Rattus norvegicus: one gene and its partner. The main gene of each other region encodes a partner of the protein of the gene in region 2 in a complex. Links are inferred from orthologs where the notes say so. Each region holds a gene or a part of one and is shown on either strand. Other genes may lie near its edges. The genes, in order: Csf3 and Csf3r.

The links.
Region 1: the proteins of Csf3r (region 2) and Csf3 are in contact, whole or in part, in a crystal structure (PDB 2D9Q), measured with the Homo sapiens proteins. The link is inferred for Rattus norvegicus from reciprocal best matches to the Homo sapiens genes CSF3R and CSF3. Residues at the interface, in NP_000751.1 of Homo sapiens: Arg164, Arg190, Lys191, Leu193, Leu194, Leu195, Tyr196, Gln197, Asp220, Met222, His261, Ile262, Asn263, Arg311, Pro313, Leu314; in NP_000750.1 of Homo sapiens: Ser42, Leu45, Lys46, Glu49, Gln50, Arg52, Lys53, Leu141, Asp142, Asp145, Thr148, Thr149, Gln152.

Annotation. Positions count from the first base shown.
Region 1 is NC_086028.1:84,156,167-84,160,446, reverse strand, and holds Csf3 (granulocyte colony-stimulating factor precursor), read right to left. Parts: upstream 2,963-4,280; 5' UTR 2,942-2,962; coding exon 2,929-2,941; intron 2,844-2,928; coding exon 2,671-2,843; intron 2,358-2,670; coding exon 2,250-2,357; intron 1,816-2,249; coding exon 1,669-1,815; intron 1,422-1,668; coding exon 1,263-1,421; 3' UTR 587-1,262; downstream 1-586. UniProt on the Homo sapiens protein: Granulocyte/macrophage colony-stimulating factors are cytokines that act in hematopoiesis by controlling the production, differentiation, and function of 2 related white cell populations of the blood, the granulocytes and the monocytes-macrophages.
Region 2 is NC_086023.1:143,593,066-143,596,872, reverse strand, and holds part of Csf3r (granulocyte colony-stimulating factor receptor precursor), read right to left. Parts: intron 3,612-3,807; coding exon 3,532-3,611; intron 3,213-3,531; coding exon 2,999-3,212; intron 1,889-2,998; coding exon 1,706-1,888; intron 1,391-1,705; coding exon 1,289-1,390; intron 1-1,288. UniProt on the Homo sapiens protein: Receptor for granulocyte colony-stimulating factor (CSF3), essential for granulocytic maturation. Plays a crucial role in the proliferation, differentiation and survival of cells along the neutrophilic lineage.

The DNA of each region.
Region 1 (4,280 bases), on a different chromosome or scaffold from region 2:
AGGTTAGCCTGAACCACAGGGGAGCCTGCAGCTGACCTTGAGCTGAAGTGTGCTTCCCTACTCTGCGGGGCTTCTTCAGCTCAGGAGTGAGCCAAGCACGAGATTGTGGGGAGATGGAGCTTGCTGAGGGAAAGCCATGCGACCCAGAACCCTAGTTCTGACCCAGTGGTCACATGAAGTAGGCTTTCTGTCTGTAATAGGCATGGTGTCAGTCTAAGGGAGGGTGCGGGGAGCTTTGCAGAGGGCTGCTGGTCATAGGTGGTGAAGAGACCAGGCCCCTGCACTTGTTCAGTATGCCCTGGCTGCAGCTCAGCCTGTCCCCAGCCCCAGGCCTCCTCTCTCCCACTGATTTATGATCCATCAACTTTTTTTTTCTTTCCCAAGAAGCTGTGGCTTCTTTGAGGCAGGGACACTGTGGGCACTTTTAGTGTCAGGTCCCAACGACATAGTTCAAGACTATACAGAGTGGCACCGAGAGAACTGGTCACCAGAACATGCTTCCTCTTCCCTGTACCTTCTCTATCTGGTCTCTCCTGCCACCCACCAGCCCCTGGCCAGGCATTAGCCAAACCCAAGAAGGAAAACATTTACTGGGCACACACACACTTTATTATCCGCAAGCTTGGTTACAGTGACAAGTGGGGTCGAGAGGGAGGGTAGACAGGTCAGCCTTCCTCTATGCCACGCACTCCCCACAGGATTCCTTGTGCCTTTTCCCTCCCACACTCCCAGTTCTAGGCCAGCAAGGCCCTAAAAAAGAATCCGGTCAATTCCAGGGCCAAACCTGGCCGCCACTGTTTCTTTAGGGACTTCATTCCTACGGGGTCAGGAAAACCTACAACCTGGTTGACCAGAGCAAGGGATGTAAGAACCCAGTTTGGGAACACTGCTGTTTAAATATTAAACAGGGATGTCTTGTCCCCCAGAAGGGAGACCAGATGCTGCCTGGGCCCCTGAGACAGGTGCCTCAGCACAGCAGGGCTCAATGTGATTTCTTGGGTACCACCACAGAATGGGGTGCCTGGAGCAGCGGCAGGAATCAATACTCGGTATTTACCTATCTCCTTCCCTGCCCTCCACAGGAGGACACAAGAGCCTTCTCTCTCTGCTCCAAGCAGGAGAACAAAACTCAGAAGTGGAGAGAAGGATCTAGAAGCTTAGAGCTCCATTTTCTCTTGTTTGTCTTTAAATAGTGGGCTTAAATACACATAAATATTAAATAGAGATAAATAAACTTTCTGGAAAGTGCTTTCTGCGCAGGCCTAGGCCAAGTGGTGCAGAGCGTGGTGAGCTGTCTCCAGGAAGCTCTGCAGGTATGAAGTGACCAGGACTCCTCCTGCCCGACGCTGGAAGGCAGAAGTGAAGATTGGCATGGTGCTCTGGGTGGGCTGCACAGTAGGGGCCACCCCGAGGCTTTCCATCTGTGGGGGAGGAGATGACGTCAGGGATCAGTCCTTCCTGCAGGCAAGGGAGTGCTGGGAAGGTGGTAAGCTAGCCTGTGGGGCTCATGAACAGCACAATCAAGACTCCAACCCAGTCTGTCTCTCAGCCTGAAGGAAGTGGGGCAGGGGGCGAGGGGTGTCTTCCCATACCCAGGCCTCTAGAAATAAGAGAGAGGCTCCAGGGTGCCCAGGCACGCTGCTGTGACCCCCTCCAGATGGTGCTCACCTGCTGCCAGATGGTGGTGGCAAAGTTGTCGACATCCAGGTGAAGCATATCCAAGGTGGGGGCCAGCTCAGAGGAAATGCCTGCTAGGGCCTGCAGGAGACCTTGGTAGAGGAAGAGCCCGCTGTGCAGTTGGCTCAGGCACTTTGTCTGGGGACAATAGGAGGGTTAGGGAGCAGGCCTTGGGATACCCCCTCTCTTCAGGAGACAAATACTAGGATGTGATCCCTTCTCTTCCTCCTGGTCCTCCTCCTAGTCCTCCTGATCCTCCTCTTCCTCTTCTTCCTCCTCCTGATCCTCCTCCTCCTCTTCCTCCTCCTCCTGGCCCTCCTCCTCTTCCTCCTGGTCCTCCTGATCCTCCTCTTCCTCTTCCTCCTCCTCCTGATCCTCCTCCTCCTCTTCCTCCTCCTGGCCCTCCTCTTCCTCCTGGTCCTCCTGGTCCTCCTCCTGACCCTCCTCCTCCTCCTTCTCTTCCTCCTCCTCTTCCTCCTCCTGGTCCTCCTCCTCTTCCTCCTCCTCCTCTTCCTCCTCCTCTTCCTCCTTCTCTTCTTCCTCCTCCTGTTCCTCCTTTTCCAAATACTCACCTGCTGCAAGGCCTGGCTGGAGCAGCTGCTCAGGGAAGCCTTGGGGATACCCAGAGAGTGGCCAAACAGCACCAGCTCCTCCGGATGACACAGCTTGTAGGTGGCACACTATAGATGGAAGGACACTGAGGGCTCTCACCTGGGCCAGGCTGTTCGTCCAGCTCTGGTCCTCCGATTTCTTCATCCACCTGACGTCTCAGTTCCCTACCTTCCTAGTGACCCTAAGGACAGTCTCATCCAGAAGTCCCACTGCTGTCTCTTTCTTCCCTGTCCCTTTTGTGCCCCATGTTATGTTTCCATCAGTATTCTGAGGGTGCGATCCAGGCTCTTGTGCACACTAGGCAAACACTGTCACTGCTGTGTGTCCCTAGCCTGCCCCCTCCCAAGTTCTTCCCTCCACACCTAGAGCAACCCCACTCACCAGCTGCTCCAGCAGTTCAGTGTTCCTGGCCTGAATCTTCCTCACTTGCTCCAAGGACTTAAGCAGAAAGCTTCGGGGCAAAGGCAGGGATGGTGGCAGAGAGCTGACGGTGAGCAGGGGAATGGCCTCTTGTCCTGACCATAGTGCACTGTGCCACAGCAGCAGCTGTAGGGCTGGAAGCAAACAGACGGGTCTGAGGCACTTGTTACTCCAGCCTCCCTCCGTTCCACACCCAGAGCAGGTAACCAGGGCACTCACCCATCAGCTTCATGCGTCCTTGAGCAGAAAGTTGAGCCATGAATTCTGGGTGATCTGGGCTACAGCTCTGGGCTCTGCCAGGGCCCAGTTCCAGGGGGCCTTTATACATAAACCCATCAAGGCCCCGGGAGGAAATTACCTGGGGCTGGGGCAACTCAGGCTTAGTAATAACTTCCCAGGATTTATGCAAATTTGTCTATCGCCCAGGACAATGCAGGGGGTTGGGGAAAAGCTGTTTGCGAAAGTTTTTATGAAATCGGGGAATCTCTGTTCCTTCCTTGACGTCTTGTCCCCCCCTCAAACTCTCTTCCTTTCTTCCAGCCACACCCAGGCCTGAGTTGCTGCAGGGTGTTTGATCTGAATTGTCCAACAAGGCTGAGCTGCTTTGGGTTCAGCAGGGAACTCAGACCCTGGGGAAGAGGCTGGCCCCGAGGTCAGGACTGCTCCTTCTCTCTATCCTCTGACAGACTTGCTTGGGTAGCCCCCTACCTGGGACAAACATTCAGAGAGAGAGAGAGAGAGAGAGAGAGAGAGAGAGAGAGAGAGAGAGAGAGAACCTGTTCTCATTTTGTACCCATAAGGCCGCTGCCTCCTGTAGTGCCAGGAGCCCTTCACAGCACCTAGGGTCTTGCTGTCTGCGCCCGCCCATTTGGATAAAAACAAAATGATCCAGCATTCAAGCCACTCTGTCCCAGGCTGATTAGCTGGGAACTCCCCAATACCCCCATTATGACTCATTTTTTTAAGCCCCTAGATCCTGGCAGAGAGGCTAGAGGAAACCGGATGTCTGTCTTGAATGAATCAAGACCCTTTGGGGCTCCTTGCTCACCTGACCCTGCCTTTCTATTTCCCGTCACAGATTACCTCGCTGTAGCGGAGCCAGTCGGGGGCATCTGGTGTCAGAGGCTGGCACATGTGGCGTCCTGATGCTCTCCTCATCACCCAGCAGTGGTGTGAGCTGGCTTGAGTAGAAGCAGGCTGGGGTGAGAACGGAGAAGCTGCACCTCCAGTCCTAGATATCTGTCCAGTGTTAGCTCTGGAACGGACCTGGGTGTTTTCAACCCTGTGAACTGGGTCAGAGAGGGAAATAAATGCCTTGCCCAATCATGGGTAGTAGGGTTGGAGGGACAACCCAGCCTCTGTCTCAGTCCCAACAGGGTTTTACTGCCTAAAAAGGAGGAAGGGATCCCTTGTCTGACTGGTGGCATCTCAGGCTGGTACTTTCTGAACTTTTTCACCCCCACCTTTTGGGCCAAGGAATATAGACATTTTTTGATGTTGAGGCATACCTGTTGGGGCGGGGCCATCTCTGGGGCTAGAGTGCCCTCTGGTGGCCACAGATGTCATGGACG
Region 2 (3,807 bases):
GCAGAAACCATGGAGGGATGCTCCTTACTAACTAGCTCTTTGACCTGCTTTGGCTTTCTCATGCATACATACTCATATCCAACACCTAAGTAGGGATGGCGCTTCCCATAGTGGGCTGGGCCCTCCCACGTCAGTCAATTAAGATGATCTCTCATAAAAGTAATCACAGGCCAATATGATATGGGCAATTGCTGAGGTTCCTTAGACCAGGTGACTCTAGGTTCTGTCAAATTGATGGTGAAAACCAGCACACCAGTCAAAGATGGACTGAGAGAACTAAGCATACAGAGCTGTCCCTGACCTCCAGGCACTCCGGCATGTGTGCGTCCATTCACGTGTGCGTCCATTCACGCACATCATACAATGGCCAAACCAACAAAAACCAAACACAAAACCCCAAACCAAAAGCAAATATGGGGGTAGAGGTTGGAAGAGACAGGTAGCGATGGATGGACGGATAGACAGACAGACAGACAGACAGACAGACAGACAGACAGACAGACAGATAAAGATCCCTTCTAAGAGGGCATTCTGGGGCTGGAGAGATGGCTCAGTGGTTAAGAGCACTGACTGCTCTTCCAGAGATCCTGAGTTCAATTCCCAGCAACCACATGGTGGCTCACAACTATCTGTAATGAGATCTGATGCCCTCTTCTGAAGTGTTTGAAGAGAACTACAGTGTACTCACATATAAATAAAATAAATAAATCTTAAAAAAATTAGGGGGCACTCTGTTTGTTTGAGAGGGGGGTGGTCTCACCACATGGCTCAGGCTGTCCTCAAAATCACAATGCTACCTCATCAGAGTTGCTAAGGTCAGAGATAGATGCCACTTTGTCCAGAGCTCCCCACTCCAATCAGGATTTCATGTGAATTCAGTTTATGGCTCCCAGAGGCAGAGCCTAGCCTGGGTTTGAGTCGGTTCTATCTGCTTGAGAATCTTTGCTGTCTGATTTCTGCCACATCTGGTATTACACGACTTGGTATCTGGTTTCAGTCACTCACCCTCTGAATCATGTCAGGTACTTGGTTCAATTCTTTCAGCTGTGATCCTGGGTTTCTGTTGGGGCCATGGATTGATCTGTGAAACTCGCTTCATCCCTGATTCTCTCCCTGTCTATTACTCCATCTTCTGCCCAGCTTTGGGGAGCCCAGTGTAAGCCATGATGGAAAGCACCCACCTCAGAGGCCAGAAGTAAAAGAATACATTTATCCTCATACTCCCCAGTTGCTAGAGCCCAGATAGAGAGAGAGGAGAGGATTCTGGTAATACTGAGGGTAGACAAACCTTTCTCTCCAGAGTAGGTGTAGACATTTACAGGGGGTCCCACGGTGCCTGGGTACAGGGGAGCCACTGTGATTCTGTAGAGTTGAAAGGGATGTATATTGTCTGCAGAGAGAACAAGGGACAGCACTAAGGTTTGGGGGCTAACCTCTGCTACCCAGCCTCAGACTCTCATTTCTGCATGGCCTTATTTTGACTAATCTCAGAGATCTCTTTTAGCTCATTTGATGGAGGCTACAAAGGGAACATGGAACAGAGAGCTAGAACAGGAATGGAGTATGGGCTAGAGGAGGAAAAAAAGGCTGGGGAGACTGCCTCTATAGGGAGGTTCCAACTGTCCCTTGCTACCTCTAGACAAACACTCACTCTGTTTCTTTTTCCTATCTCTCAACCCATCCCTTTGTCCCAGGCCTGTCTCACCCTCTAACAGAATTCCAGTGGTGTTCCCATTGGGCTCTATCCTCCAGGAATTATTGCTGTATTTGTGGGAATCCGGGCCCCACTCAATGAGATAGCCCTGAGGCAGAAGGCTGGGGGCTTCCCAGTCTACCCAGATGCTACCAAGGTCTTGGGCCATGGCATGCAGGCTGGTCACAGCTGGACCTGGAGATAAAGAAAGACATAGGAGAGAAGATGAAAGGTACGCAGGCCTCAGGACTAGACCCTTGGATCCACATCCTGCCTTTGCCAACAGCTCTGTGATCCAGGGTATGTCAGTACCTGATCATCAAGCTCCTCACCTGTAATGTGGAAGTGACAATCAAAAAAATCCCCACTTTGTAGAGGCTTGTGTGTGTTAAAGGAGGGTGCCCAGAACAAGTCTAGCACAGAGCCTGGCACCATTTAGCTTAATATATGTGATTCACTGAGTTCTTCAACAGTCACACCAGGGAGGTTCCACGGTTGTCTCATTTTATCAATGAGTAAAAAAGGGAGATACAGAGAGGCTGAAAGGCTTATTAAAGACCACACAGCTCCGGGACTGGAGAGATGGTTCAGTGGTTAAGAGCGCTGGCTGCTCTGCCAGAGGTCCTGAGTTCAAATCCCAGCACCACATGGTGGATCACAACCATCCGTAATGAGATCTGACTCCTCCTTCTGATGTACCAGAAGACAGAGCGCTCATCTACATAAAATACATGAACAAATTTTTAAAAAGGCACACACGGCTCAGGGCTGGGGAGAGATAAATTAATTGGCAGAGTGTTTATGAGGCAAGCACTGAATTCGGTCCCCAGTTTCCACATGGAAACAACAGCAAATGAAACAGTGTGTGGCATTTATAACCCAGCACAGGGGAGGTAGAGACAGTGAATTTCAGACCAGTGGGAGAGCCTGTCTCCAAAAAAAAAAGTACACAGCACCCAAAAATGACATTTGAGGTTGTCTGCCAGCTGCTATATTCATATACACACAACTTGTAAGCAGGAATCATAGTTTGTCTGTCTGTCCGTCCATCCATCCATCCATCTATCCATATACACAACATGTCTATGCAGGTATATATATTGGTATGTATATTCTCCCAGACTAACCTAGTTCTGGCTAACAATGTTAGTGCATACACCTGCAGGTTCTGGAGACAACGGGCCAGGAAGGGCAGTCACCTGTCCCGGCCACTCTGTTAGCAAGTGGTTGACTGGACAGATAAGGGCATAGGCAGTCCTGCCTTCGAGTTCCCATGCTGCTCTCGGCTGCTCAGCTCCTCTTTACCTTCGTGCTCCAGGAAAACCACCAGAGTAGGGGAGGAGGTCCCCGCCGAGTTGTAGGCCACAAGGGTCACGTTCTGGGCCTCTGAGGGCAGGTGGAAGGTGCAGCTGAGCTCTGTGGTGTTACAGAGGTGCATGATCCGCCCTTGCCCATCTGGGCAACTCCAGGAGAGCAGGTAGCCCTGGATCTGTCCACTGTCTTTCTGCAGGGGTGTTGGCTGTGGTGGGTGAGGAAGAAGATGGTGAGGGAGTTGTCTAGTTCATGGTGAATTGGTCAGTACCTGAGGGCCAGGGACCAGTCATAAGAACTGGGCCATAAGACATCCCCCACCTCCCTCTCTTCCCCTGTGGGAAGATCTAGGAGACAAAGAAGAAGACAGTCAGCACAGGTGACCCTAGAACCCTGTATTGCAGTCTCTCCCCGAGGCTTCTGAAGTATGTGTAACGTGCTTCCAAACTGCCTCCCAGGCACACTGCAGTTTTGAGCCCTACTTTGGGGCTCTCTTAGGAGGGTTGGAAGGGGTTTCAGAGAATCACCTTCCAGAACAGCTGCATTCTCACTGTCTCAGGATCCAGATGCTTCTTCTGCCACCATGTGTCCAGTCTGATGGTGGGGGCTGTAGATGGATGGGGGAGGATATAGATGGATAGATGAGATGAGAGGTTTTTTTTTTTCTTCTTCTTCTTTTTTTTCTTTTCTTTTTTTCTGAGCTGGGGACCGAACCCAGGGCCTTGCGCTTGCTAGGCAAGTGCTCTACCACTGAGCTAAATCCCCAACCCCCTTTATTTTTCTTCTTTAAAGTATGACTACTT